Linked DNA regions of Coturnix japonica. The protein of the gene in region 3 interacts with the protein of the main gene of each other region in a pairwise test. Links are inferred from orthologs where the notes say so. Each region holds a gene or a part of one and is shown on either strand. Other genes may lie near its edges.

Region 1 (3,500 bases), on a different chromosome or scaffold from region 3:
TTGGACACCTCTTGCCTCACATCACAGCCTCCCCAGAGCCCAGCCATCCCCAAAAAAGGCTCCAGCTCATGGTAGGAGACCCCTAGTCACAGCTGTTCTTCAGTACTTACCAAAGCACTTCATGTACGTGCTCTCTTGCAGTCAGGTAGCTCAAATATCCCAGAGGCTGCAGCCCCATGAAGGGCAGGGGATTAGCACAGAGGACAAAGAATGCAGTGGTATGCAACTGTGGGACAGCCTCCTAGATAAGAGCCTAGACACATCTCTATCAACCCAGCAGTTGGTGAGGAATTTGGCAGGGTGAAAACGGCAGCCTCTGAAATATGGCCAAATGTGTGTGGGAAACTGAGCAGGGACTGAGTAAGCCAAGGAACGGGGATGGAAACCTCAGGGCTTGAACAAGAGACAGCAACGGGAGGAGGTTATGTATCATTTAAAGCTGGCCACTGCAATCTCCTTAAGGAAAAGAGGTAGCCTAAGATCTGGACTCCTAAAACAATCATTGCTTCAGGAGTTGCCCCACTGGCCCACGCACACAAATCCCGGCAAAAAACAGGGCAGCATGGAGCCAAAGCAGCTTTGCTTACCTGTCTGGGTGTGTGTGAAACTTTACCAGGCTGCTGTAGAGCTGCCTCTCTGCCTGGAGAGCCTCATTTAGCCGATTTCTCTCAGCCACCAGCCCTTCCAGCATCAGTAACAACTGGTCAGAGAGAACAGAAAAGATGTAACACATAAGTCAAAGGTACTGGCTGCTCAGGGATATGGTGGTCTCCCCTACCAGATGCACCAACACCTCTCCTGCTTGTATTGAAGCAATCAAGTACTGCCAACCCTGGACACCATCCCCCAAAAGTCTATACCCTTGAGACAAAAAAGGGAACCAATCCTTTGCTTTCCCTATATTATATGCAGCCAGCTTTAAAGAACATGCACACCTCAGCATATCCAACAGCTGAGAATAAAGCGCTATAACTGAGCACCAGATAAAACACAAATACATTCAAACTTGCCCTGCAGGACACACTACCTGCTGCCTTCTGTTTCCAGTAGCCTCTTGTCCTCTCGACTCTGCTACGGCCACTTTCTCACGAAGTACCAGCACTTCTTGTGTCAGCCGTTCCACTGCTGGAATTTCTTCAGGATCTACCAGCTGCATCTGCAGATCCTGAAAAGCAAGAGGCAGGAGGGATCTGTGGAGAAGGGATCAATAACAAGGACAGCTGGAACCTTGTGACCCTCCATGGAATGCAGTTACCAACATTTTTCCAGTGTTAGAGAAGACCCTGGTCTCCTAAGAAAGAAATGCCAATGTATCCAGTGTGTATTAACCATAATCAACTGCTTGAAGCAAGAATTAGGAAGGAACACAACATCTGTTTAAAGTGCTCAAGAAAGTTGCAAGCAAGGAGCAAAAAGTCTAATAATGACACTCTCAAGATTTGGGGCCCATAACTTCTGGCCCAAATCGGAGGGCTGTAGGCAAACCAAAAGCAAAACTATACACAAACAGCCATGTTACTCTGAAGAGGTTCCTTGCATTAGCAGACATACTTGGTCATAGATAATCATAACAAGCCTACAGCTTGGTTTCTGATGTCTTGTCATTCATTGGAAATGAGTAACCATGAAGGACAGGATGTGGGGAAAGAAGAGACACCTCTGCAGCCATCTCAGAAGAAGCTGACCCAGCAAAGCATGTTACCTCACCTTGATGAGGTCCTCTTTGATCTGGATGGTTCTGGTCAGAGACTCTATATCAGAAGCCTGCACCTGCAGCTCTTCCTCCTGCGTGGTCACAACAGACTGGAGAGCAGCAAGCTCCCGCTAGGTACAAAAGAGGAGAGTATGAAAAACTTCAGAAAGGTAAAACCCCACTGTGCTGCCCTATCTCTCACTGAGGCACACTCATGTTGGGGAGGGGGGGTCCAAAATCTCTATAAGGGACAGCCCAAGGGTTCCCTGCAGGCAGGAAGACCACCACAGGCTTCAGCACAAACTCACTCTGCTCTCCCTTTCTTTCTTTGCCATTAGCTCCAGTTCCTCTCTGGCATTAGCAAGATCCTTCTCCAGTTCTGCTGCTGATGCTGCAATTGCAAGGACAGTTGGATTACTGCAGTGTTACCATATGTCAGCTGCTCCCTCTGACTGCAAGATTAGACCAGTCCACAATGATTACACTCCCCACCACACCACCTCTTCTTAAACACCTTTCTTCCCTACTTAATTCTTAAACAGCAGCCCAAGACAATAGAAATACCCCAGGCCTCCTGTCTTCACTCCATCAAATATGACATGTCCTGATCTTAAGGCACAACCCAAACCAGCTGCATTATTCTCATTCTAATCTGAACCACTAAGTCAAAATCCCTACCCTGAACGCTACAAAACTTCTTGCAATGAAGAAGTAACTCACCTTAAATCAATCTCTCTCTTTTCCACACACCCACCCCCAAGACATCTGTGAACCTTCATCCAAAGGAGAGGCACAGTTTTATTTCAACACACTTGCTGTTGCTCCAAGCTCGTCACTCTCTAATGGCTTCATGTAAGCATGCTTACCCCACAGCAAAAAAGTCCTGACTTGTTTGAGGACCTTGAGAGAAGCTGTCACTCACCTTCTTCTGTCAGGCAGCTGTTGTCCTGCTGTGGGGGTCCAGCAAGGGCTGCAGCTCCACAAGCTCTTTGCAGTATTTCCTGAAAACACAAAAACCTCCACGTTTGCACCTTTACAGAGAACCTCACAGCTACCCCAGGGCCCATTAGGACTGCAGCAAATCTGCTGGCTGCTTTGTTGATGCCTCTAAAACATGACAAAGCAATAACAGGAACTAGTCAGACAGCAGGGACAAGAGAGTTGCACACAAGATGGAAGCTGCATGTTTGGGCAACAGGGCTCTAGCCTTATTTTATTTCTCACTAAGAGGCTGCTGGCAGTAAGCTTCATTATAGTCAGGATTAAGCAAGTTTTGCTCAACTGAAGCAACTACAACTTTCAACTGAGATTCTGCACAGACCTATATCTTCATCCAAAGATGTGGCCCAGAGGAACTGTGCAGGTAGGAAAACATAAAGCTTGGCCCAAATATCACATATTGGGATGTCTCCAGAGCTCACTTTCATCCTGGGAATAGAAGTGAGCCACCTGCTTGCAGCTGCTTAAGAGCGTTCAACATGTCATCTCACCGATAAACCATTAACAGCTGCTCAAGCAGGAACAGGGCTTATGTAGCCTTACAGTTGTGCTCAGCCTCAAAGGGTTTTTTAGCAAAGCTGCTTTAAAAATACCAACCCCAATTGTGGAAGAGACAGTAAACACCCAGCAGGCTCTGCCAAGAATTAGTGAGACCTAAAATTAGCTCCCTTGTCCCCTCCAGAATGTGACAATGTCAGGGAGGGGATTACAATAAAGCAGCACAGCCCAGCCCAAGGAAGGACTGGGACAGTGCTGGAAGGTCAGGAGGTGGATTTTTTTCATACTCACTTGTGCTTATTGCCTGATC
Region 2 (3,948 bases), on a different chromosome or scaffold from region 3:
GTTCCCTGACACAACTGCCTAAAAGCTGAAAATGATTCTGATAGCTGTGGATCACACACCTGCACACTGACAGCAAGGATGTGTTCACATTCTACTGTGCTTATCAAAGTAGAAAAACACCAGACTCTTGAATAGTAAATGCTGTAAAACTGATCACTGCTATTTATCTTTCATAGCATTTTTACAAAACAGGAAAAAAATAACATGCACCGTGGCAATATGCATTTCCAAGACCTTCAGAAAAGCTTCACAAGTAGTGATGTTGATGAATATTAACTTGTAGGGTCAAGGTAGCAAACAAAACCCATCTCTTGACTTGGATATTTATTGTAAACTTGATTATTATTATTTTAAGCTACCACCCACGTAACACATACCTTTGACATAAACATACTAAGCCTGAAACTTGCTTCCTACAGCAACATGCAAAATAACACACAGTAACATTAGTATTCATTTGTGACACAAGCAGTTCCCCAAAGCTTTACATACCCCTCCTTTTGTTTGTTTGCTTGTAGAACAAAATCATCGTCCAGAACATTTTCTGGATTATCAAAGTCAAAATCATCATCAAGAGCAGCAACAATATCAGGGTCAAAATCCAGCCGTGGTCCTGGAGAGAGGAAAAAACTTACATATGTAAGTTGCCGTGACATCCCAAAGCCACCTTCCTTGATAAAAAGCAATTCAATTTGACTAGCAGTCACAAGTTTCACTGGTAATGTTTGTAGATTTGATACAAATTAACTAGTAAGTCATCAGCCTCTTGGTTTTCCTCATCCAGAAAAGAACATCCCCCAAGATGTCTTAGGCATACAAAAATGTATTTTAATCTGTTTTAACACTATCAAGACTATCAACTTTAAGTATTATTACAAAAAACAACAACCTTAGATAACTTGAAAGTGAATCTTTAGTACAGTTCAAACATAGGCACACAAAGAGCACTCTTTTAACACTGAAATTAAGCTGATGAAGGAAAGTAAAAGTATCTCAGCAACTGAAAAGAGGAATTCTGAGAATGAAAATCCAGTTACACATTTGCATTCAACCGATGGAGTCAAATCAATAGCATTACCTACATAATATCGTTAGTAGTGAAAGAAGCCTTCCCCTATTATTAGTTTCTATGTGCTAGATAATAGCAATAACTTGTGATTTTTTTCCTCCCTCTATGCAATGCTTAAAAGCAATTACTACTGACTGATAGAAGGAGGTCTCAAACAGAAACACAGGTCTGATAGAGATCATCCTTGTTATCTGCTCTTGAGTCTGTTCTAAACAAAACAAAACAACTACTGCTTTGTTTACAGTGCTGCTAATTACTGAGTATTACCTACATGGCAACACCTGTTACAGAAAGGCACAGGACTTTACGGTACCTGAAATAGGGGCTGCTTTATTTAGCAGGCCCACATTCTCTTCAAATTCAGTGGCAAATACTGAGGAAGGCAACTTAATAGATGGAGCCTAAAACAAACAAACAAAACGTTAGAAGTGACTGACGGGCAATTACATACTTAACTGCTTGAAATTATTCAAGGATTTTCCATTCCAACATGATCCAGTGTCATGAAATTCCACAAGTTTGACCAGCAATTACCTCTCTATCAGCAAAAATACTACTTACAGCAATTCGTTCAATTTCATCCTCTATGTGCCCCTCACTTGTGATGACAATTCTGCTTTGCTGTCCACGGAAAGAAGGGACAAGCTCAGAGGGGCGAGATGCTTCTTTCAAATGCTGCAAGTAGTCATAGTCATCATCAAAGAAGACTCCATATTTCCGCTGCTCCTCCCTCCTCTGCTCCTCGTGACCCTTGAAATTGTAAGGAAAAAAATACAGGCAGTTATTTAAGTCCACTTAAAAGTCAGCAAAAATAGAAGTAATGTCTCCATTGTCAACACCCAAACTCATAAAAAGGAGCATAAAAAACAACAAAAAAGCTCACAGAATGGCTTCAATTGAAAGAGATCTTAAAGATCACCCAGTCCCAACTCACTGGCCATGGGCAGGGTTTCCAGCCCACCAGTTCAGCTGCCCAGGGCCCATTCAACCTGGCCTTGAGCACCTCAAGGAATGGGGCACCACAGCCTCTCTGGGCAGCCCGTGCCAGTGTCTCACCAGCCTCTGAGGAAAGATTTCCCTCCTAATGCCTAAGTGTGACTACATGCCTTCATCTTTCATTCTCTGCTATGAATCATCCAGCTGCACGCCACTTTCCCCCCCTGTAGCTCCTGCCACATGGGCAAACCCCTTATGACAAGCAGGCACTTACCCTCTGGGCAGGCAGCAGGACCCTCTGCGGGGCCGTATCATCAGCAGCGAGGGGGTCCTTCTGGCTTCTGTGCACTAAGTGAAACGTTACCGCCTTCTTCTTCTCTATGAAGGGCTTCTTCTTCTTGTGAGGCTGCAAAGGGACGCTTAAGAATCATTAATAAGAAATGAACGATTAAGCTCATCCAGAAAGAACCCTCTGCTCGGGCTCCGCTGCCGTACCCCGCATACCCGAGGCTCTCCCGCCCCCAACCCCACAGCGACCACCGTCTCACCATGGCCTAAACACAACCCCGACACAGCCACCTCCACACACGCTCACACAGCCCGGCCCCACACGGGACAGATGGGATGTGCGTGAGGGGAGCAACCACAGGCCGCAGGGGGATGTAGTGGGACCGTCGTTCCAAAGGGCTCTTTTATTCTTTAGTAAGAACACCAACGAGCTTGCTTGCAATAGGACTTCGTTTAAATAGAGAGGCGGGTTCTAAGAACGCACGTAGGGTATTTCTCCGCCACCCCACGGGACGCATCTCCCACTTCGTCCCCTACACAGAGGAGATGGTCCATCCCACCAGCAATGGCGGCCATAGGGCACGGCACACGCGCAGTGTCGAGCTGCCATGATGGGGCGGAGCGCTGCCGTGTGTACCTCACAGCCATCCCGGCTCCCCACACGTCGCTAGGTGTCCCCAGCGCCCCGCCTGCCCCATTTATATGTATTTATATACACATTCACACGTATCTATAATGGAAACAGCCAAACATTTGTCTAAGGCACTTGGAACTGTGCACTGTATCCTACAGTACTGTACAATTAGGCAGCACACAATGATATTTTTCTTTATGCACCATAGAACAAGCACAATATATCACCTCTGTGAAAAAAAACCCACATAATACACGTTCTATTCTTTCTGATGACAATATCAGAATAAATCTGTGTGTGTGTGTGTATAGGTACATGCTACAGTACAGAAGCCGTAATTAATTCATAGCTTTTCCAGTTATTTACATTCACAGGTATCAATACACAATGTCAGACAAGTCACGCTGCTCAAATACAAGTAAATGCATTTGGTTTTTAATTACATGAAATGCTCACTGCATAATGCTCAGCACTGAGCAGTGCCCTGTCCCTAACCAGCCTCAGCTCTGACACACAAAACAGAAGTTCTTTGAAGTCTCATGTCTGAAGTAAAGTTGGGTCTATGAAGCAGGTCATATTAATACTGCCAGGATTTATTCAGAGTAAAAGCGGTTGGACATGATGTTCTTTATAGGCCCAGTCCAACCAAACCTATTCCATTCCATTCCATTCCATTCCATTCCATTCCATTCCATTCCATTCCAACAACAACTTGTTCCATCTCCACACCCTTCCCAGCCCTACTCACACAAAAGTCCACTGAAACAACCAATCGGTATCTTTTTGTTTTGTTTAAAATCAGACCAGCTAAAACAATTGTCCAAAACACAGTATTTCTTTAATTCCCCAATTTATACAGGTCTACAAATCAGCATACCACCACAAAATGTAGTGAAAGGAAAAGATACAATCAATAATGTTTTACTATATCATAACAATGATCAAATATGGTTAAATTTGACATGGTATTGGGGAATTTACTTTTGATTTAATCCTCAAATCTAGATAATTTACTTGTCTT
Region 3 (4,080 bases):
ATGCTTCCAGGAGCAAGGACAGGAGCTGGACATCTGCAGGAGCTGTAGTGTCCAGGTGAGCACCCAGGTAAGCGCGGAGCCTTGTGCGATGCCCCGCTGGATTTTACAGCAGAGGTGGCACTTCAAGGCAGCTGCCACGTGTGGGTTATGGCCTTGCCCCTTGCCCCCACCTCTCACAGGAAGATGTTTAACCCCAGCCCCTCTGCCCAACATCACAGAGGCTGCTTAATGCACAGCACAGTTGGGAACGTGCTCGCTGCTGACCAGAGCACAAGGAGGGCAGGGAGTTGCACAGCCCCTGGTCTCCTTTTGCAGCCGGGACAGCTGCAGCGCAGTGCTGCAAGGAGCCGCTGTTGGTGGCTTTGCTCTGCCCCCTGCTGGGGACAGGACGAGGGGAGGGGGACAGGGCAGGACGATGCACGGATGCAGCCACACAAAGATGCAACTGCAGGTCAGAGCTGCTCCAGGAAGGACCCAGCACGGGCTTTATTTTCCAGAACAGGAGCAGGACAAGCCCTACTGCTGTCCTGGGTGCCAGGGCTGTAGGGCTGCCCTGACACAAGCAGCGCAGGGAGCCCAGCCCAGCCCCGTGGTTACAGCACCATGAGCAGTGGGATCCCAGGGCTGGATGCTCCCAGACCCCTGGACGTGCTGCTCCCAGCTGTGCAGCAGCCCCCAGGAGCCAGGCCAGGCTGTGGTGCTTCCTTCCTTCCTCCCCTCACTCCATCACTGCCGGCTCCTGCCCCTCCACGTCCCGTGTCTTGGAGTTCACCAGCTCCCTGCGGATCTCGGCTGAGATCTGTGGGTGGCTGTGGAACTTGAGCAGCTCGAGCAGAGCTTCCTTCTGCTCCGAGGACAGGTCCTCCTTGTAGCGCTGGGCAAGAGCCAGGAAGCTCTGGTGCCACAGCACGGGCAGCGTGCGCTGGTCTGTGCGGAAGGCCAAGAAATGGAAGACCAGGGCATCCACCACACGGAACGGCAGCGCGTACTTCTTGTCGATGAGCAGCCGCAGGAAGATACTGTTGGCACCGTTATATGGCATCTCAGCAATCTTCAGCATGGCTGCACTGTGGGGACAAGGGGAGCAGCAGGTGAGGGCAGGGCACAAAAAGGACGGCTTTGAATCAGCCCTGAGCAAAGCTCCCCCACTCTGAGCTGTTGGATGGGCTGAGGGGCAGTGACTGCCCCAGTGCATTACCTGGAGTGCAGGACAGGGATGGAGCACTTGGTGAGGATGCTGCCGATGATAATGGCCTCCCGCAGTGTGCAGGTCCCCGATTCACACAGGGGGATGAGGATCCCTGTGGGGAGAGAAGAGCTGGGCACCACTGGTCATTGCAGCAGGCAGAGCTGTGGGGTGTGAGGCTCAATCTCTGCTCTCTCAGGGCACATTTAACCCAAGGAAATAACATCTCTGCATCATGGGCACCTTTCCACCTTCCTCCCCCTGCCCTGCCCTGCAGCAGGTTCCCAGGGGTGGAGTGCAGCCCTGCAGGGAGCCCCTACCTTTGAACCAGGCTCCTGGCTTGAACAGAGCCTTCTTCAAAGCCATGTAGAGGTGGAAGTTGAGGCGCTTATACTCAGCGATATCATCTCTGACCCGTGGCAGCAGCACCAGGTTGTAGAACCTCTGGGCCATCCTCTCCTTCAGGTTGGATGAAAATATCCTGTGAAATGCAAAGCATGAAGAGTGAGCTGTGACTCCAGAGCCATCCACCCCCAGCATCAGGATCCCCTCTGCTCCACAGGCACAGGGCAGGAGGAGCAGCTGTAGGACACACGATGGTATTTTGTCCATCTCGTTCCATTACAAGGAGAAAACAACAGCTCAGAGCACACTGAGCTGGTCCCACCTCGTGGCCTGGTACATCGCTGCTGCCGTCCACGTCTCGGGCTCCGTGATGTAGAGGATCTGCTCCCAGTTGGACAGGGCAGGAATGATTTTAAATGCCTTGGGGAGCTTCCCACTCCTGTATTTGGACAGCACCTTCAATGGAAGCAGAGGGGGAAGGGTTTGTCTCAAGGCTGTAAGCAACCTGTCTGCTCCCTGTGCAGCTCCACTGCGTGTGCTCACACAGCACGTATGTGCTCACAACACCCGAGGGACACAGCAGTGCTGTCTGCACTGCTCCGCCGGGAGCTGGGGGGTCCCACAAAGGTGTGTGTGGGGCCGGGGGGGCCGCAGTGCCCTCACCTCTCTGACGCCTCTGTACACCTCTATCACGCGGGGGTCGAGCTGGGGCATGGGGCGGCCCGACAGCTCGGACAGCGCCGTCTGCACCTCCGTCTGCTTCTCCGTGATCTTCTCCATGATCACATCCGCCAGCGTCCGCCTGGGGGGGCGGCAGGGGTCGGTGATGGGGAACCGGAGCTCCCCGTCCACCCCCCGCCCATTCCCACCCCTCCTCCGGTACCTGAGCGGCGCCGCGCGGTTCATGAACATCTCCAGGGCCTTCTCGTCCTCGGGATCCACCTGCACGTCCCCCCCGCCGCCCGTCCCGTCCCACTCCGCCGCCCGCTGCAGTGACGGCCACTCCTCGTCCTCATCGTCCTCCTCCGACCCGCGCCCGCTCGGGGCTGTCGGTGCGGGCGCCCCGGGGCCGTGCTCGGCCTCCAGCTCCTCCTGCTGCCTCCGGGCCTCCCGCAGGATGCGCCGGGACAACCGCGGCCCCACGTATCCGCCGTCCCGTTCCTCCGCATCGCGCCCCGCGTCCCGCGCCCGCCGGTTCCGCACCGTGGGGGCCGCAGCCCGCAGGATCTGCTCGTGCAGCGGCTCCGCCACACGCGCCGCCTTCGGCATGGCCGCAACAGCGACACGCGATCAGACGCGCCGGCGCCAGCACGGCCAGCCCCGCCCCTTCCGGTACCGGCACCGCCACTGCCGGGACGGAGCCATGGGGGTGACCTGGTGAGGGGCCGGTGGGGATGGGGTGATGGATGGGGTGATGGATGGGGTGATGGATGGGGTGATGGGGTGATGGGGTTGGGGCTGGGTTTGGGTTTGGGTTTTGTGGAGGCCCCGCGGCCATTTTTGCTGTTTGTCGCCCCGCAGCGTGACGCAGGTGCCCGTGTTGGAGGGTAAGAGCGTGCAGCAAACCGTGGAGCTGCTGAGCAAGAAGCTGGAGCTGCTGGGAGCCGAGAAACACGGAGCGTTCGGGGTGGACTGTGAGACGTATCACACGGCAGCCGCCATCAGCAGCCAAGGTGGGAACCCGGGGGGGGCGGGTGTAGTGCGGACATGGGGCATCTGCTGGGCTGGTCAGCATGGAGAGGAGAAGGCTGAGAGGGGCTGGGGGCGCTTATCAACCCATACGAATGTTTAAAGGGTGGGTGTCAAAGGAACGGGCCAAACGCTGCTTTTCTTTCAGGGCAGACGGGCAAACTGATGTACGTGATGCACAACTCCGAGTATCCCCTCAGCTGCTTCGCTCTGTTTGAAAACGGGCCCTGCCTGATCGCGGACGCCAACTTCGACACGTTGATGGTGAAGCTGAAGGGATTCTTCCAGAACGCCAAGGCAAACAAGATCGAGAGCCGGGGCACGCGGTACCAGTACTGCGACTTCCTGGTCAAGGTGGGAACCGTCACCATGGGCCCCAGCGCCCGCGGGATATCCGTGGAGGTGAGAATCACCTTTAAGGGTATGAAATCCAGGGCAGGGAAATCCCATGTTGGAGGCTTGGCTAGAAACCTTGAGTCCCCATCCCTTCCATGTATCATCTGTGTTACTCGTTGCTGGCAGGTTGTATTAATGCATTCAATGCCCTCCTGCTGCAGCTTTGGCTCTAAAGCTGCTTTCTCCTGGTCACAGAGCTCTGTGCTGTCAGTGCTGCCCCAGATCTGAGATGAGGTGCTGAAAGGTCTTGTAAAATCTGAGCATGTGTTTCCCTAAACACACAAATCCTATTAACTGGTCTGTAATTAATAATGATGGCGCATCTACCCAGGCAGGTGTTCCGAGCTAACAGGGATGGGATTGAGAAATGCCTTGGTTTTGCTTCATAAGAATAAACACAGATGTAGTGGTGCGAGCTGCTGCTGAGCTGGGGTTAAAGAGAAGCTTGTTTTACCCTAAGCTTG
Region 4 (4,299 bases), on a different chromosome or scaffold from region 3:
TTGTTTGTTCTGATGACTTCTCTATGGATATACACTTATATAATCGTATTACAGTGAATGTTGAGCATATAGCAATTTCACCTTTCCGTCAACATAGACGACACGCTTTCCTGTAGTGGTCCCGTGCTCAAATTCAATTTTATGAACGCCATCACTTAAAGCTACTTCCCAAACAGCCACCAAATCTGTCATCTTCTCTATGTGGCCGTACCGAGACCTGTGGAAACACCAACAAAGTCAATTAATTGTCATAAGTTTACACAATTACTTGCACGTTCTTGCTTTTAAAATCATTCAAATATGACAAAACATCACAAAAGCAGGCAGGTAAGCAGGCTCGCTCTGACAAACACCATACAAAGATATATACCCATCCAAACTCCGGAGCTTCCAGTTCAGGGGGCAGTATAGTTTAAAACTGTACTTAGGATTCAGATGTTCCTTGCGGGTAAATTTAAGCAGGCTTTAAAATGCAGCATTTCATTTGCTCTCTGAGTAACCCCTTCAGCCTTCTGAACTTGAGAAGTAGTTGTAACAGATAAGCTCATCACCTACTGATTCTAGCAGAAATATTACCTACATCATTTGGGAATGCAACTCTGCACACACAAACACACACAGGGAAGGAGACTGGAAAAGATATCCTTCCATTTAGAACACGTTTAATGTTTGGTACAGCCATAAGTGACCACGGCAGTGGGGGATATCTTTCCAAAGGCCGTACGGGCTGCAGCTCTGCTGTTTTACCTTACTTCTTCTTCACTGAGGGTAACCTCCTCGCGGGATGCCATAGTAAACAAAGGGCTTTTAATCCAACCAGCAGCAAGAAAAGAAGAAAAGCAGGATAGCAGCTAGGAATGCTGAGAATGGATGGAGTTATGACTAACGGATTTGTTTGCTGTGACACAAACATCATTTTCCGGACACAAACTGGTTTTGTGTAAGAGCACGAATGACGAATGAAGAGCACGGCTGTCCTGTAACCACATCTCTCCCTTCAGCTGTGAGGGAACCACACACCCGCATTCCATGAGGCTCAGCACCAACACCAAAGCCACCAACCAGGACTCAAACCGCCTCCAACATCCACTCAGGCCCCTGAACTCGTCCTACAGCGAGTTTACAGCCACAGCCTTTATTTCTGCATTACTCCGCGACGTTCCCTCCCCCATCACTCACTGCCATCCTCACAACCCCTCACACCCACACCCCCCCCTCCTACCCGCCTGCCCCGCTCCGGCCGCGCGGGTCCCTCCTCCCCTCCGCCTCAAGATGGCGGCTGCCCGCCTCCCCGCGCTGACCGTTACCGCCCCACGGCTCAGAGCCCGCCCTCATCGCCCGTTCGGCCGCTTACTTTCCTTGCCTGCTCTTCCTTTCCCTTGGCGGCTCAATATGACGGAAGTATCGCGGTAGTGACACAAAAGGGCGCCGAAGCAAAGCAGAGCGTGTCCGGCTCTTCAGAAAGCACAAATTCGGCTCACTGCATCCATTTCCCCTTCTACCCGGAGCGTCAGCGTGCCTTTTGCATGCCTCAGGTTTCTGCCTCTTCCCAGCTTCAGCAGGAGGAAACGGAATGGGAGACCCTCAACACGCTGCTGTTACGCCATGGAATGGTGCCCATAAACACCCCAGGTAAGGAGTGCTGGTGGTGGAGGTCCTTGGGCAGCAGACATGAAGTCATGAGGTGCTGCTGAAGCCATCGGTTCCATACAGTAACGGTGATGCCATCTTCAAGTACCAAAAGCTTTTGGTTAAGGCGTTGTTTTATGATGTGTGCTTCCAGATGTGATTGCTTTGGACAGTCAGGCCTCTCTGGGAATAAGACTTGCATTAAAAACGTTATTGGAAGACACCGACCGACAACAGAAGATGATGTACGGGCTTATGGAGACTAATCGTAATCTTAGGTAAGGTGCTGTGAAGGGAATTTGCAGGTAGTGCAAAGCAAAAAGCACTATTGCTGCCCGTTTTCTGTCACATCCAAAGCCAGAGACCTTTTTCTTGAGACTTTTGTGCTATATGCAGCAATATTGGCCCAGATCTCCTTGAGCTGTTGTCTGAACTGCATCTGCTCTTGCTTCCCATAGTGGCATATTTCCTGTGCCTGCTGCTGCAGGCTGTTACTGGGCACCATCGGATAATATTTGCCAGGCCTGTGCTTCTTGCAGTGCATTTAGTGAAATGAGTTTAATTTAAATCAAAGATTTGTGTTTCTAGAGATGAGGTACGACAGGAACGAGGTCGGGCATCTCGACAAGAGGAAAGGGCTAATGAATTGGAAAACGTGGTGGAAAGCATTAAGGCAAAAATCCGTCAGCTGGAAGATGAGACAATAGCTAAAGTTTGCCGGCAACAGAATCAGGTCAAAGAACTTCATAAAGAACAGATGGATTCACAGGTAAGTCAGTCTGCAGCACTCAAACTTTTGACTTCTTTTGAAAGCTCACATTGGTCCAAATAAATACAAGTCTCATGTCAAACTTCATATGCTATTTGTAGCTGATTTTATGTTTTACAAATAATTTTCTAGTAATAAATTGGAAAAAATATATGAACCCTTCTTCCACTGGCTGTTTGATTAAGCTTTCTTGGGACCAAGCACCAAGTGTGGGTTGGTGGAGCACCATCTCCAGCCTGTGAGTTCAGTTCAGAATGCTCCTGTTATCTCTTCACAGGCAAAATACCAACAGCAGCAGGAAAAGCTGCAAGAACAGGAGGAGATTATTGCCCGTTTGCAGAGGGAGCTGTGCAAAGCTGGGCTGGAGGAGCAGCAGCGTGTTGCCACTCAAACCGAAATGTTCTGCCGGTTTTGCAAGAGAGCTCCCAAGTCCCTTCTAGATCAGCAGTAAGGAATTTTGTTATATTGGTGAATGACTTGTAACATTAAATGAATAAATGGATTTTAAAGTGACGGTTCTTGATACTTACATGGGAAAAAAAAAACAAGTTGGAGATGTTAGTGCAAGCTGAATGAATGCATGGCAGAAGGTAAAAATTCTCGGCCTCTGTATCCACTAGGTGTCAGCAAAGAGGGCGGAATGGCTTATTCTGGAAACTGCATCTGCTACAGTGATTTTGTTCTGGGACTTGTAACGTTTAGAATGTAAATTTAAATAACAAAGCAAAAAAGCAACAACAACAAAGACAGCTCGGGAAAACAGCTTTTGTGACTGCTGACTGCAAGCAAACTCCAGGCACTTTGTGCATGTTCTGAAAGCCTACATGTCCTGCAGTAACTCTGTTTTTCAGCTATAGTCAGAGACAGCTGACAGCTTCTAGGCCTCAGGTGGCTGTTGCCTTACTGTGCTGGTGTGGCCTGGTCCATCCAGGTCTGCCTAGGATGTTTACCTAGGAGAAATTTTAGAGGGATTGTGTGCCTCTCTCTGTTTCTTATGCCCTCATTAAACAACAAAAAAAGAAGCTCTGAGATTCGTTCCCTGACATTTCTCACCTGTACATACAAAACAGAAAATCTCAGAGTGGTTCAAAAGGAAATGCTGTTTCTCACCTATACGTTTTTCTATGGCTTTATTTCCTTGCAGCCATTTCCTTAGAAAGCACTTGTAGTTTCTCTGGAAGTTCTTAGGCTGTGTGTGACCTGTTCTGTTATATCACCTCCAATGGTCCGTGCAGCCCTACAGCTTAAGACTGTGACAGCTTGTTAAGCTTGCTGGGTGAACATAGCCATGAGATGTAAGGGCTGTCAGGAGGATTTAGCTTTTGTCTCCTCTTGAGTCATTTTGCCACTTGTAATCTAATAGGCATTTAATGTCTCTATATTTCTTTTTTTGGAAAACTGCGACTGATATAAGGGAGAAACAGTCACTTTTAAAATACAGTGTAGCTGTGTAAGCTATCCTGTTCCAATAGATTGGTAACTATATCTTAAGTTCAAAATACCATTTTTCCTTTTTCAGGTTTCTTTGTCTAATCGATTATTATGAATCTCAAATTAATCAAATGAAAAAGGAGCTACGGTGAGTCTCATCTAATGCCTTGTGGTCCTACTGCTAAAAGTTTTCTTTCTCCTTGTTGTTCTTAAAGCTTGGAATGGCAAATGTTCTATTTTCTAGATGTCACTAAAACATAAGAAACAGCCAAACACTGTAATAGTCTTGGAAGTTTGGATTAATCCTGGAAATTTCTCTCAGTCTGAGCAGCTGCGCAGTCAGGCCATACAGCCAGGAGGGCATTGTATTTAGACACATGAGCTATAATCCTTTGTTTGTTTTTCGGCTTTCCCTTTTGTAGAGGTTTACAGGCAGCACTACTGCATTAGCTATGCACAATTCACCCGTT
Region 5 (3,939 bases), on a different chromosome or scaffold from region 3:
TCCTAGTTCTTGGTAGGTTCTGGTGTGATAGCACAGGCTTTGCAGCTGCCCCATTACATATGCTTTGGGTGGCAGAGGAGGGTACAAGAAACCTCATGGCAAAGAACATGAGTGCCCACACTGCCGCCCATCTCCCTGGAAAAGCCTGCAGTTGGGACCAGCCCCAGGATGGCCACAGATTGCTGATCAGATCACAGAATCACTGAGGTTAGAAAAGACCTACAAGATCGTCCAGTACAGCCATCCACCCATCACCAATAGTCCTCACTAAGACATGTCCATCAACTCAACATCCAAATGTTCCTTGAACACCTCCAAGATTGGTGACACCACCACCTCCCTGGGCAGTCCATTCCAGTGCCTGACCACTCTTAGAAAAGTAATACTTCCTAACATCCAGCCTGAATATCCCCCGGCACAACTTGAGGCCATTCCCTCTAGTCCTATCACTAGTTACACAAGAGAAGTGGCTGTCACCCAGCTCACTACAGCTTCCCTTCAAGTAGTTATAGAGAGCAATAAGGTCTCCCCTGACCCTCCTCTTCTTCAGACTCCTAGCTCCCTTAGCTGTTTCTTATAAGGCTTGAGCTCCAGACCCCAGACCCGGGGCTAGAGTAAGCTCATGCCAGCCCAGAAGATTCTGTGCAGGCTTTGAATCAGAGTTCTATCTCATTTTGCACTGGGAAGCCGAAAGACCATGAATGACTGTAGCACAGCTAGATGCCAAATGAAGGGGGACAATGTAATTTACTAGATATGCTAGGGGAAAGGAGATTCAAGAGTAAGTTTATATAGTGCCTTATCCTGCCCTTTAAATTCATACTTCAATTACTAACGACCCTACTAAAATCTATCCTCTGTGCTTCCACTCAATTAACATTAATAAAGGTTATATTCCCCAGAGATGTGGTGAATGCCACATCCATGGAGACACTCAAGGTCAGGTTGGACTCGGCTCTGAGCAACGTGATCTAGCTGTAGGTGTCCCTGTTCATTGCAGGGGAGTTGCACTAGGTGGCCTTTAAGGATCCCTTTAAACTCAAATGATTCTGTGATTGTATGATATGAACTGAAAATCACAAGGATGAGAAGTGATACAAAGGAACTGCATGGTTCTGGTCCACTGGTACTGTATTTGCTGTACTGCCTTCCACCAAGACCAAAGATGTTTCATGACAATCAACTCACTAGCTGCAGTTCTGAAGCACTGTCTAGTGTATACCTTCTTTGCCATGTTGATGCTCCAATAAAATGCTCTACTGAAACTACTGGTGTGTGTCATTCCCACTGATTCCTCAATAGGATTGCCATGCATATAAGTGAATGAGAACATGTATCAACACAGGTGAATTACAATCCTGATGCCTCCTTAGTAATGTCGCATTACAGACTCCAAGTAGACATTCATTCAGAAAAATGTAAAAACTTTATGAGTTTTTAAATAACAATAATCTTCACTCTAAGCTTTTAAGCCCTTAGTAGTAAGACTGTACTTTACTTTCATACTTTGGTCCTCAGAAGAGATAGAGCTGAAACTCCCATAACTAGTGCATTATCACTCATACGCCCACTTAAATATGATTAACAATGAAAATTAGTGAAAAGCATTGTTATGTCTACCAATTGCTAAGATAACAAAAGCATTTTGAAAATAAACTCCACCTGTTGCTGAATAGTTCTGTGTGGTTTCTCCTTAGAAGGCACTTTTCAGAGAAATAACTCAAAGTATTCTTTCATTGCTATCTTTTATACCCTAACTGCACACAACTTGAGTGAGCTGCCACAGAACTCACGTGCTGGCTGATGCTAATGGCTAACTATCCTGAAGGACTGCATAGCAGCATTCTTCCAACTAGAAAGCTGTTTGAGGTAAGTTTTCAACTTGACTTTTTATTATGTCTTCACCAATATCTACACGGAACAAACTTTTCCTCCCCTTCTTTTCACTCTCTCAGTCAGGATTTTACACAGAACCTCCTGTGAAGGTTAACAGAATGTGCAAATATTTCCCAGGCAACACATCCTTGTTGTGAATTGGTGTAATCTCTAACAGTAGAAGAACAAGTTTTGCTTACATTTCTTAGAGCAGAACCTGCAGTTTGTTTTTTTAACTCACTGAAAAAGCTTTATTACTGCAGGAACTCCCTGTATTCCAGCAAACGCATCCCAGCTACGCTGACTGGGCTGCATTCACACACATCACAATAAAGAACACTGAGATCCCGGAAGGGCTAAAGGAGCACACCTTTCACAAAAGGCATGTTTCACGCTACAAAGTGAAGGACTGCTCTCCAGACGTGACAGTACCATAAAATTCCGCATTTGCAGAGGTTCGTAGAGTTAAGCAAAGCATCTCAGCCTCATTTCCAGTCACACATCTGATTTCCATCAGAGATAAGAAAGTTTGATTATCACCCCGGTAAAAAGGTGTACGTGAATTAGAAGCGCACAGAACGTCAGATAAGTGAATGTAATCGTGCGTACAGATGTTGCTGCAAACAAGAAGCACGCTTTTGCTTTGCAGCCTCTCTAAAATCCAGCAAGCCATTTCAGGGGGGGAACAGCAGTTGCGGGAACAAGTCTCGCAGGCACCCCCCGAGCCTCTCTCCCACCCTCCCGCCTCAGGGCTCCGTGCCGACATACCTGCCACTCCATTGTTGCTCTTTTCCTCCTCGTCTTGAAGTTGAAGAAAACGGGATAGTCCTTCCCAGCGCTGGGCTGCTCTGCTGCTTCTGTTGCTGCCTCTGCCGCTGCTATTGCTGCTGCCGCCGAGCCCTGTCCAGCCCGCGCAGTGCCGCTCTCTGGGCGCGGAGTTAGCCCCAGCCCCAGCCCCGCCGCCTGGCAGGTTTCCTTATATAGGTGAACACTAATTGCATTCCTAGTGGAAGAGGCTAGCCGGGAGAGAGCTTAACTTTGTTAACTCCACAAATACCAAATGGGGCTGCCTGCCTGAAGTTTGCTTGCGTAGCACTTCAGTGTCACCAGAGGGGAGAGTGGGTTCCTTGCAGCAGTTTAGCACCTATGAAGTTATTCCATTTCTTACATCTATAGCAACAGTGAGTGCTATGTCACTATTACGTTAAACACTTGATATTTTTGCAGGACACCTGCCTTAGCCTATACTTTTGACTCCAAGAAAAGCACAAGGGTTCACAAAGGTAACACGCACGCACATTCTGGTAGCATTAAATTAATTCCAATTGTATCAGTTTTCTATGCGAAAAGGCTGCCATATATCAAACGTTACATGAAAAAGAGTTGCGACACTGCAGTCAATGGGGAAGAAAAAAAAGAAAAGAAGCAGTACAAGCCAAGGTTGTTTACTGTTTCCTACTTCCTTTTCTAGACAATGTAATAGCTGAGCTTCTGGTGATAGACCTGTCTTAGTCCGGGAGGTGTGATTGTGATACATTAACAGACACACCCACCCACACAGAGATAAATGGATAGGGTGCTTACCCAGAACAAGCACACACCGCACTCTGCAGAGCAGAGGTGTACCTGACTCCTCTTGCCCATCCACTGCTCACTAAACCCCTTCTGCAAGATCAACTCAGATGTCTTCAAGAAGCAATCAGTTAACCGTAGGGAAAATCATGCTGCTCATTTCCCTTTATACTACTCACACAAGATTCCCCTGTTCATTATGGCCCTCCTTCAACAAGCCGCAACACTAACATAGGCAGAGAGGGACAGGGAGCGAAAGACAGGAAGGAGCAAGTAGAACAAAGGGTGAATGAAACCAAAACAAGAAATAAGAGTTAAAAGATTTGATCAAGTGATGAAAAGCTGATGTTTTAAAACAGTACATTGAACTATAAAGTGTATCTTTTTTTTTTTTTTTTTCTTTTTCCCTTCTTTCATTTGTTCCTTCGGATGTATCCCTTATAACTTCAGACAGAAAAGAGACAAAATCCTCTTCCTGATGACCTCTAGACC
Region 6 (4,277 bases), on a different chromosome or scaffold from region 3:
GCGCAGCGACGCTCCAGCAGCTCCCGCTCCTGCAGCAGCTGAGCAAAGTCCTCCTGCAGTTGCTTCTTCTCCTGCTGCAGCTGCAGCACCTGGAGCTGCAGGACCTGCTGCCCACGCTGCGCCTGCTGGGCCGCCTGTCGCACCTGGGCCGCACAGCGCTGCCGCAAACCCTCCAGCTCCTGCTCACAGCGACGCTGCTTCTCTTCATACACCTGGGCACAGGCACACGCTGAGATGGGACATCCCACATCCCACACCACCTCCATGTCTCCCCAAGTCAGCATCTACAATCTCCATGGGGTTCCCCAGACACATCACTGCATGCATAACCCAAATCTACACAATAGGACTATATGGGCACCCCCAGCCCTGAGAGCTCCCCTGGTTCTCCTTACCCTTATATGGTTCTTACCTGGCAGATGGCCACCTCATTCTCATCCAGGCTGTCCCGCAGCTGCTGCAGCTCGGCCTCCCTCTCCCGCAGCTTGTCCTCCAGTTCACGCACCAGCAGAACCTCCTCACCAGGCAGCGGCGAGCGCCCGCAGGAGCCACTCTCGGAGGAGGGCCGGCCCCGGCCACTCAGCGAGCCCGTGCTTTTGCTGGAGGATGAGCGCCCACTGTCCGAGTTGGAGGGGCCGGCTGGTGGGCGGTAGCCACCTGGGGGCTCAGGGTGGCTGTGAGGGGTGGCTGTGAGGTTGCCAGGCTCAGTATGTTGGCTGCAGCCTGTGCTGTAGGTGGGCAGGCTGGACAGAGAGTTGCGTCCCGAGTCTGAGAGCGTGCCTGAGTGGCTGCTGGTGCGGCAGCTCAGTGAGCCAGGCTTGTCGGCCCCGGTGGTCCCCAGCAGGTGGGTGAGGCTCACCTGGCTCTCTGATAATGCTGCAGCCCCTGGACGTACCCCTTGGCTGGCCGGGCCCGGAGCAGCCCTGACTTTGGGTACCACCGGTTTGAATGCCATAGGGCGGATCAGGGTCTTCTCCACATTCTGCAAGGCAAAAGAGGAGAGAGTGGGATCTGGGGACCAGGTACACTCCAGAGGTGGCCTGGCAGATGCTGGGGATGCTGCCAGAGCACCAGGGAGGACTTGGTAACCCCACCAATTCTGCTCCCACCCAACACCTCAGAGTGTCACAGCTCTATAGAAGATGACCACTAGGTGCCCTCTGCTCCATGCAGCAGTTTCAGACAGGCTCCCACACACACATGGCCACTCCTGACATGAGGAAGAGGGCAGCAGGAGCACAGAGATCACCACCACCCCCAGCGACATGGACCATGTGCTCTCTCTATGCATGCACCAGCACGTCTCCCCAAGCCCAGCAGCCCCAGTGCAGCACAGGGCTGAGCAGATCCCCCAGCACTGCTTCCACCTTACCTCTTCTAGCTTGCCAGAGACAGGGACAAGCTTGGGGGGCGGCCCCCGGATGCCACCACTTGGGGCTTGTTCATCCCGTGCCTCGTCTGAGTCGCTGCAGGGGCTGACGGGAGAGGCTGCCTCCAGCCACTCCCCATGAAAAACTTCATTGGTGTAGGCATGGGCAGTGGCTGAGCACGGCTTCTTGGGGGGCAAAGTGTGGAGCAGGGGATCCGGGGGGCTGGCTCGCAGCAGCGTATCCTGCACACGGAAGGAACCACCAGCACCAGCAGGCTGGCAGGAGCGATCGTGGCATGGTCGGCTGGCAATCAGGCTGCCCACACTGCCCATGGTGCCGTGGGTGGGCAGGGGGGAGCGGGTGGCAGTGCGGAGCTGGGCAGCAGCCTCAGGCGTGGCCTCGATGGAAACTGGCAGTGTCTGCACAATGGCCATGGCAGGGGGGCCCCCAGCGGGCAGGGGGGCGCAGGCAGCCTGTAAAAGAAAGGCAACGTGAGGCCTTAAGCAATAAACTCACTCACTCATCCCATAGGACACCAATGAATATAGGACCCCCATAATGGCGCAGGCAGATGTGGGATGGCTGCAAGAGATATGCCGGGCATGAGCAGGCGTCGAGCAGAACAGCATAAAGCTGGGATTAGCCGGAGCAGGGGGAGGCACGGGGCATGCAGGGGGCTCACGCAGCACCAGTGCTCCCGTGCAGGGCCCAAAGGAAGAGCCCCACAGGGGCAGCCCCATGCACTCAGCAGGGTCCCCACTGCGTAGCAGTCACGGTGCCTTCTCTGCCCCACTGCTCCCGGTCCTGCACCCCTGCTCTGCCCCACAGCGCTGCCTACACTGCCATACCTCAGCTCCAGCCTCAGAGAGACGCCCCAAACACCTCATCCTGAAGCATCCTCCTCCCCAACCCCCCCAACCCCGGCACCAACATCACCCCGCTCCCCAATCCCGTCCCTACACCCCTCTCTCCCACAGCTCACGGTCCCCACTCCGCCCCCTCCCCCCGCCCTGGAGCTCCACACCGACGCGTCCCCCCGGGCCGAGCCGGACCCACCCGGGCCGGGCCGCCCCATGATGCGCTCGGGCCGCCGCGCTCCGCCCGCCGCGCTGGCACCGCCCCGGGGCCGCCCCCCGCTTCCACCGCCCCCAGCATCACCCCGGGGTGACGCCGGGCCCCCTCTCCCGTTGCGGGTCGCCCCGCTTCTCACCTGGCCGGCCGCGGCCCATCCGTCCGGCGGGTCCCGGCCCGACTCCGCCGCCCCCTGAGCCGGGAAAAGGAAGAGAGAGCGGGGTCAGGGCCGCCCCCCCCCGTCCCTCCTCTCCGTAGCGCCCCACTGTGTCCCCGCGGGTCCCACCGGCCCGTTCCGGCCCAGGCCCGGCCGCCCTCGCTCACGCTCCGCTCCGCACCGCCGCTCTCCGCCGGCCCGGCCCGCGCCAGGCCCCGCCCGCCCCGCCGCCCCCGGCCCCCGGCCCCGCGGCGGATGGGAGGCGGCAGGGGGTTGCCCTACGGCCGGGCCGCGGGGCAGCGACGGCAGCGAAGGGCCCTCAGGGGGCGGCAGGGCCTCAGCCCGCACCACGGCCCCGCAGGCAGCACGGGGGGGGCTGCGTCCCGCTCACCTCCACATCCCCGTCCTCCGCCATGGGCCCGGCTCCCGGCGCGGCGGCCAATGCCTCCTCCCGGCCCCACGCGTGGGAGCCGTGGGGCGCGGTGGCGGGGAGGTGCCCGGTGCTGGGTCAGCGCTGGGGCGGGAGGTGTGTGTGTGCGTGGGGCCATGGGGCCCCGCTGTGCCGTCCTGCCCCACGCACAGCATGGACACGGGGCTGAATGGGACCCAAAGTTGGAGGGATGGGGGATGGGAGCACGGGGACGCTCATGCAGCGAAGGACAAACAGCTTGAACAGCTCTGCTTTAATAAAAGTGTAAAGAAAACAGAGGGATGGGCCAAAAGCCCACGGCGGGCTCCCCTGTGCTGGGGAGGACTGGCTCAGACACAGTGTTTTGCCATGAGAGGCTCCGAGGCGCCCAGGGCTGTGTCCCTGAGGCATTGCTGCTACTGCTGCTGGTGGTACATGTGGCCAGAGGGGCCGGGCTCAGAGCCGGCAGAGCTGCACTAGCACCACACCGTGCGGGAGGTAAACCTGGGCCATCAGCCTCCACTTAGCAACCCTATATTGACCTGCTCAGGGTACAGAGACCCCAAAGCCTGCACATCCACTCCTCTCCCATCTCCCAGCATCGTGCTCTGCTCAGGAGGAGCGCAGCCGCACGGCACCTGGTGTGCCCGAGTACCAAGGTTGTCCCTGCCACACTCAGGGCTTGCCAGAGCCACCCACACCTCCTCCATTGGGACCCTTCTTGGGTGAAGGCGCCTTCTCCTCCTTCACCTTCTTCAGCTTGGCCTTGCTTTTGCCGTAGGAGGAGAAGGTGAGCGAGGCCTTGTTGAATTCCAGCGGGAAGACGCCTACATCGCCATCAAAGCGGTTCTTGGACACCTGCAGGTAGCGCTTCCCGGGACCCGTCGTGAGCTTGCGGTCCTGCAGGATGAGGACGTTGTCGGCCTCCTGGCTGGCCTGGGGGAGGAGAACATCTCCAGGGGGTGCTGCAGGGCACGGGGCACCCCCACACCCAGCGTCCTCCCTGCTACCCCACGGAGCAACTCATGCCACATCCCACCCACAGCTGATGAGCATCAATCAGCCGCGTGCCACCAGATGGCAGGGGACACCCAGCCCCACTGCAGCACAGTTTGGGTCACGGCGACGTGCCAATGTCCCCACCCTGTCCCCGCCTGAGGCCCAGGAGGAGCCACCTTGGCAGAGCCGAAGATGGAGGCGGTCTGCAGCTCCTTCTCGTCGTCCTCCTTGCGCGGGTGGATGACCAGCGTGATGTGGCACGTGTTGTCGG
Region 7 (4,080 bases), on a different chromosome or scaffold from region 3:
TTGTGCAGCAGACACTGCTCCTAGTTCTGTTGAATTACCGTATCGCAGCACTGGAGGGATGCGTGTTTTCTAGAAAGGTCAATAAAATAGAAAAGAATTGCTCAAGACCGCTTAATAAAGTAGTTCTAGAGATAAGCAGGCCTCATCCACGCAGTATTTCCTTGAAGGTTTCCTTACCATTCTTTAAATAACCTGCCGTTTCACCTCTGGTAGCATTCCTGTAACACAGCTGGCAGTCTGCATAGCACAATGTCGTCTAGACCTGCTCTGAACAGAGTTGGATGACACAGGAGTAAAAATGCTGATGGCTGTTCGGGTGCCTGCGCTGTGCTGAAGGAACGATAGGAGGAAGAACGAGGCAGAGCTGAACGAGACACAAGTTCCTTGTTCCTCCTCCGTTCCTCCCTTGTTCCTCATCTCACGCCCAGGCTCGTCAGACAATCCCATCAACCATACAGAAAAGTTGTGGCGGTCATGGGGCTAAGGAATAATCTTCACATAGGTGGGAAAAAACAATCCCAAACCCCCGTTAGCTGATATAGCATCAAGCACCACTCAGAGGTCTCAGAATAGGCAGCTAACAAACACATCCCTGCACTGCTATCTCCCATCTCTCCTCCCCCACCTGTGCCTCAGAAATGTTTTCTTAACGATTCGGAAGAGAAATGGCAAAAAGGTTGATGCGAAACACAGAAAGAAATGAAGTTCGTTCCCTGTTCTCAAACGATTTGGCCGTAGCATGACAAGAGGAAAAAAACATATTGAGAGCGATAAATCCATATATACCTACTCCAAACTACACCCAGCATCCCGAGGGACCCGATGTAATGGTAAATAAATATAGATGCAGTTCCTACTAATGAGGTAGGGTACAGCAAGGCCAAAGCAAATGCAATCAGCTCGGGGAAAAGAACTGCACAGGACTCCTCCTCTCCCATCCAGGGAAGAAATCAAATAGCAGCCACACCATCCCAGGAAGAAAGCAATGTACCTGATGAACCCTGCAGCAATGAGCTGGGATGCAAGCAGGCACTACAGCACCAAGCCTTTCCCCACCAGTTTCCCCTTCCCTGTATTTACGTGCTGTCTTACAGGCAAATTGTAGTTTTCCCCCCCAGTTTCCTTCCCCTCCATCCCTATATAGTTGGATCAGGGGCATCCAGCAGATCCGCTCCCACACCGCCAAGCCCTGGCTGTCACGTTAACACTTTCCTCCCTACAAAGTTTCAACCTTCCCAGCTCCAGCTCACGTGCTGTGCTGTACTTAAAGCCACTTATCTCTAGTCCCAATGAGAACAAATTAAGCTACACCCCACTCCGCTGTCTGCTTACAGCCTTGATTTTCCTCTTCCTTCTTCCCTCCCCACCCCCCCCAAAGAAGCATTTTGACCCCTGCACATCACCGAACACCCACAGCTTTTTTCAGACCCACCGAAAAGGGTAAAATAAAAACCACAACAAAAAACACGACATTCCAAAGAAGTACTTCGCAAAACAACTGAAAAACCCACCAGAGGTGGAAGAACTCAGCCCAACCTGCTTCATATGTGCGATCTGAGCTGATAAACAGCACCGAACTCGGGTAGGGTCAGCCCAGAAGCGGGGCAGGGTGGGTGGGCAGCATCCCCTGCCATGCCGGGCTCTCAAGGGGGCATGAGGGTCCCCCGAACGAACCCGGGCACAGACAGAGAAGCGTCGCAGCTTCTCTCCCCGTGAAGTAGGGAATAAACAAGCGGCTGACACCCCGCCCAAACCCTCCTCACACGTTTTAGGACCGATTTGTCGCCGGCTCCTTCACCCCATCCCGCACAAACGAATCCCTTCGGTTCGACGCCTTCGCCCTCCCGCAAAGCCCCGGCAGCGGCACAGCTCGGGGGGGGGAGGCGGAATGCCCTTTTCCCCCCCACATAACCGTAGGAAAACAGTTGGGTTCACCCCGGAATGAGTGATCGCTCCCTCAAGGGTCGGATCCCGGAAAGGAATGAGGAGAAAAGAGGGGGATAAAGGGCTGAGAGATATGGGGGGGGTATGGGGAGGGAAGGGGGAAAGAGGGATGAGGGAGGGGGGCCCCCCCCAGCTCCGCTCGGGGTTCGCGGTCCCAGCACCGAAACAAGCGGAAAAATAAAGAAGAATAAAGAAATAAACGAAAGAACCAGCACCCACCCAACCTGAGGGGACTCCGCCGCCGCGACTTCGTCCTCCCCACACCCGGGAGTGGATGGGGGGGTGAAGAGGGGGGATGAAGGGGTGAAAACACAAAACAGAATAAAAAGCCGAAGCAGCAGCAGCAGCAGCAGCAGAGCGATCTCCCTGTTATCCGGGGGCACCCTTCCGTCCCCCTCCTCACGCACCCTCGGATCTCCTCACGCCTCGAATCCCTCCCAGGCTCAGACACAGCCGGGGGGGCCCTTCCCCCTCCCACCCACCCTCCCTCCCACCCTCCCTCCTGGCAGCCCACCCACCCGCCCGCCCCCGTTCCCCCCCTCACCCCCACTCACTCACTCCCGGTGCCGGCGGTTCCTCCGCTTCACCATTGAACGGGCCGCCCCCGCCGGGGACCCCCCCCCTGCAATGAGGGGAGATGAACGTGGACAACAATAGCGCTGTGCTGCCGGAGCCCCCCGAGGATAACAGCCCCCCCCTCCCCTCTCTGCCCCCTCGGCTCCTTTTCTCTCTGTTGGGCTTTATTTTTTTGTGGTGGTGGTTTTTATTTCTCCCCCCCCCCCCTCCCGGCTCGCTCACACCAGACCGACTGTCTTTGTCTGTCTGACAAGCGCCATGTTGATATCAACATCCGAGCTCCCACCTGCTGCAGCTGTGAGACCCTGGGACTTGTAGTTCCCCCCTCCCCAGGGTGACGGGGAGCGCCGCGGCTCACGGACTACAATTCCCAGCGTGCCGTGCGGCGCGGCGCCACCACGGGAGCGCGGGGCGAAGCGGAGCGCGGACTACGGCTCCCAGCATGCAACGGGACGGCAAGGTGATATGGAGGGGGGCGGCATGACGTCATCACGGGGGGACTACAAATCCCGTGATGCTTTGCGGCGGGAAGGGGGAGCGAGCCGGAAGTGGGGGGGCAGGATTGTGCCTGTAAATAGAGCCGGGCAGCATGAAGCTGGTGAGTGGGGGCTATGGGGCCATTGGGGGCCGTGGGGGGTCTATAGGGCCATGGGGGGCTGTTGGAGGCTATTGGGGTCTATTGGGGGCTATTGGGGTCTTTGGGGGCTATTGGGGTCTATGGGGGCTATTGGGGTGTATGGGGGGCTGTGGGGGGCCATGGGAGGCTATTGGGGGCTATGGGAGGCTATTGGGGTGTGTGGAGGGCTGCTGGAGGCTATTGGGGCCTATTGGAGGCTATTGGGGCCTATTGGGGGCTATTGGAGGCTATTGGGGGCTATTGGGGGCTATTGGGGGCATGGGAGGCTATGGAGGGCTATTGGGGCTATGGGAGGCTATTGGGATGTATTTGGGGGCCATGGAGGCTACTGGGGGCCATGGGAGGCTACTGGGGGGCCATGGGAGGCTACTGGGGGCTATGGGGGCTGCTGGTGGCTATGGGAGGCTGTTGGGGGCTATGGGAGGCTATTGGGATGTATGGGGGGGCTACTAGGGGCTATGGGGGGAGCTGGGTGGTGTTCTCTGCGCTGGGATCACCCTCGGGGGTTGGGTGAGGGGCAGGCAGTGGGTTTGGGCCCATAGCACATGGGGCTGTCCCATAGGAGCATCCCCAATGGTTCGGTGTGGAAATAGCTGCTGCTTTAGTGTTAATACACGTAGCTGAGGACACAGCACTGTGTTATTCACTAGGAGAGTGGTTAGGCCCTGGAAACAGGCTGCCCAGGGAGGTTGTGGATGCCCCGTCCTTGGAGGTGTTTCAAGGCCAGGTTGGATGGGGCCATGGGCAACCTGATCTATGGGGTCTCTATGGGGTCTATGGGGTCCTATGGGTCCTATGGGGTCTCTTGGCAACCTGATACTAGTAAATGTGTAGTGTTTGGTGGCCCTGCTAGGCAGGGGGGTGAACTACATGATCCTTGAGGTCCCTTCCAACCCGGGTCAGTCTGTGATTATTACACGCCT

The links.
Region 1: the proteins of BYSL (region 3) and myomegalin-like interact in binary tests that used the Homo sapiens proteins (3 or more experiments, as listed by UniProt). The two-hybrid records come from large-scale screens. The link is inferred for Coturnix japonica from reciprocal best matches to the Homo sapiens genes BYSL and PDE4DIP.
Region 2: the proteins of BYSL (region 3) and LTV1 interact in binary tests that used the Homo sapiens proteins (3 or more experiments, as listed by UniProt). The two-hybrid records come from large-scale screens. The link is inferred for Coturnix japonica from reciprocal best matches to the Homo sapiens genes BYSL and LTV1.
Region 4: the proteins of BYSL (region 3) and CEP70 interact in binary tests that used the Homo sapiens proteins (3 or more experiments, as listed by UniProt). The link is inferred for Coturnix japonica from reciprocal best matches to the Homo sapiens genes BYSL and CEP70.
Region 5: the proteins of BYSL (region 3) and MID1 interact in binary tests that used the Homo sapiens proteins (3 or more experiments, as listed by UniProt). The two-hybrid records come from large-scale screens. The link is inferred for Coturnix japonica from reciprocal best matches to the Homo sapiens genes BYSL and MID1.
Region 6: the proteins of BYSL (region 3) and LZTS2 interact in binary tests that used the Homo sapiens proteins (3 or more experiments, as listed by UniProt). The two-hybrid records come from large-scale screens. The link is inferred for Coturnix japonica from reciprocal best matches to the Homo sapiens genes BYSL and LZTS2.
Region 7: the proteins of BYSL (region 3) and HMBOX1 interact in binary tests that used the Homo sapiens proteins (3 or more experiments, as listed by UniProt). The two-hybrid records come from large-scale screens. The link is inferred for Coturnix japonica from reciprocal best matches to the Homo sapiens genes BYSL and HMBOX1.

Annotation. Positions count from the first base shown.
Region 1 is NC_029523.1:4,150,917-4,154,416, reverse strand, and holds part of myomegalin-like, read right to left. Parts: intron 2,695-3,500; coding exon 2,616-2,694; intron 2,085-2,615; coding exon 2,002-2,084; intron 1,825-2,001; coding exon 1,708-1,824; intron 1,166-1,707; coding exon 1,028-1,165; intron 701-1,027; coding exon 588-700; intron 1-587. UniProt on the Homo sapiens protein: Functions as an anchor sequestering components of the cAMP-dependent pathway to Golgi and/or centrosomes.
Region 2 is NC_029518.1:47,266,620-47,270,567, forward strand, and holds the start of LTV1 (protein LTV1 homolog), read right to left. Parts: upstream 2,801-3,948; 5' UTR 2,557-2,800; coding exon 2,554-2,556; intron 2,412-2,553; coding exon 2,280-2,411; intron 1,820-2,279; coding exon 1,631-1,819; intron 1,471-1,630; coding exon 1,383-1,470; intron 614-1,382; coding exon 493-613; intron 1-492. UniProt on the Homo sapiens protein: Essential for ribosome biogenesis.
Region 3 is NC_029541.1:4,735,776-4,739,855, reverse strand, and holds BYSL (bystin), read right to left. Parts: upstream 2,801-4,080; coding exon 2,415-2,800; intron 2,334-2,414; coding exon 2,195-2,333; intron 1,988-2,194; coding exon 1,854-1,987; intron 1,668-1,853; coding exon 1,507-1,667; intron 1,302-1,506; coding exon 1,199-1,301; intron 1,068-1,198; coding exon 719-1,067; 3' UTR 453-718; downstream 1-452. Other genes in the region: MED20 (mediator of RNA polymerase II transcription subunit 20), read left to right, coding at 2,799-2,908, 3,053-3,204, 3,369-3,622. UniProt on the Homo sapiens protein: Required for processing of 20S pre-rRNA precursor and biogenesis of 40S ribosomal subunits. May be required for trophinin-dependent regulation of cell adhesion during implantation of human embryos.
Region 4 is NC_029522.1:18,786,337-18,790,635, reverse strand, and holds the start of CEP70 (centrosomal protein of 70 kDa), read left to right. Parts: upstream 1-1,499; 5' UTR 1,500-1,526; coding exon 1,527-1,632; intron 1,633-1,783; coding exon 1,784-1,907; intron 1,908-2,217; coding exon 2,218-2,398; intron 2,399-2,675; coding exon 2,676-2,845; intron 2,846-3,917; coding exon 3,918-3,977; intron 3,978-4,299. Other genes in the region: FAIM (fas apoptotic inhibitory molecule 1), read right to left, coding at 82-217, 748-791.
Region 5 is NC_029516.1:112,129,357-112,133,295, reverse strand, and holds the start of MID1 (E3 ubiquitin-protein ligase Midline-1), read right to left. Parts: upstream 2,801-3,939; 5' UTR 2,644-2,800; intron 1-2,643. UniProt on the Homo sapiens protein: Has E3 ubiquitin ligase activity towards IGBP1, promoting its monoubiquitination, which results in deprotection of the catalytic subunit of protein phosphatase PP2A, and its subsequent degradation by polyubiquitination.
Region 6 is NC_029521.1:20,199,742-20,204,018, forward strand, and holds the start of LZTS2 (leucine zipper putative tumor suppressor 2), read right to left. Parts: upstream 2,801-4,277; 5' UTR 2,581-2,800; intron 2,492-2,580; exon of another isoform or gene 2,399-2,491; intron 1,844-2,398; 5' UTR 1,805-1,843; coding exon 1,373-1,804; intron 983-1,372; coding exon 413-982; intron 213-412; coding exon 1-212. Other genes in the region: TWNK (twinkle protein, mitochondrial), read right to left, coding at 3,683-3,943, 4,183-4,277. UniProt on the Homo sapiens protein: Negative regulator of katanin-mediated microtubule severing and release from the centrosome. Required for central spindle formation and the completion of cytokinesis.
Region 7 is NC_029518.1:96,819,285-96,823,364, reverse strand, and holds the start of HMBOX1 (homeobox-containing protein 1), read right to left. Parts: upstream 2,801-4,080; 5' UTR 2,499-2,800; intron 2,372-2,498; exon of another isoform or gene 2,352-2,371; intron 2,332-2,351; exon of another isoform or gene 2,164-2,331; intron 810-2,163; exon of another isoform or gene 178-809; intron 1-177. Other genes in the region: INTS9 (integrator complex subunit 9), read left to right, coding at 3,110-3,118. UniProt on the Homo sapiens protein: Binds directly to 5'-TTAGGG-3' repeats in telomeric DNA. Associates with the telomerase complex at sites of active telomere processing and positively regulates telomere elongation.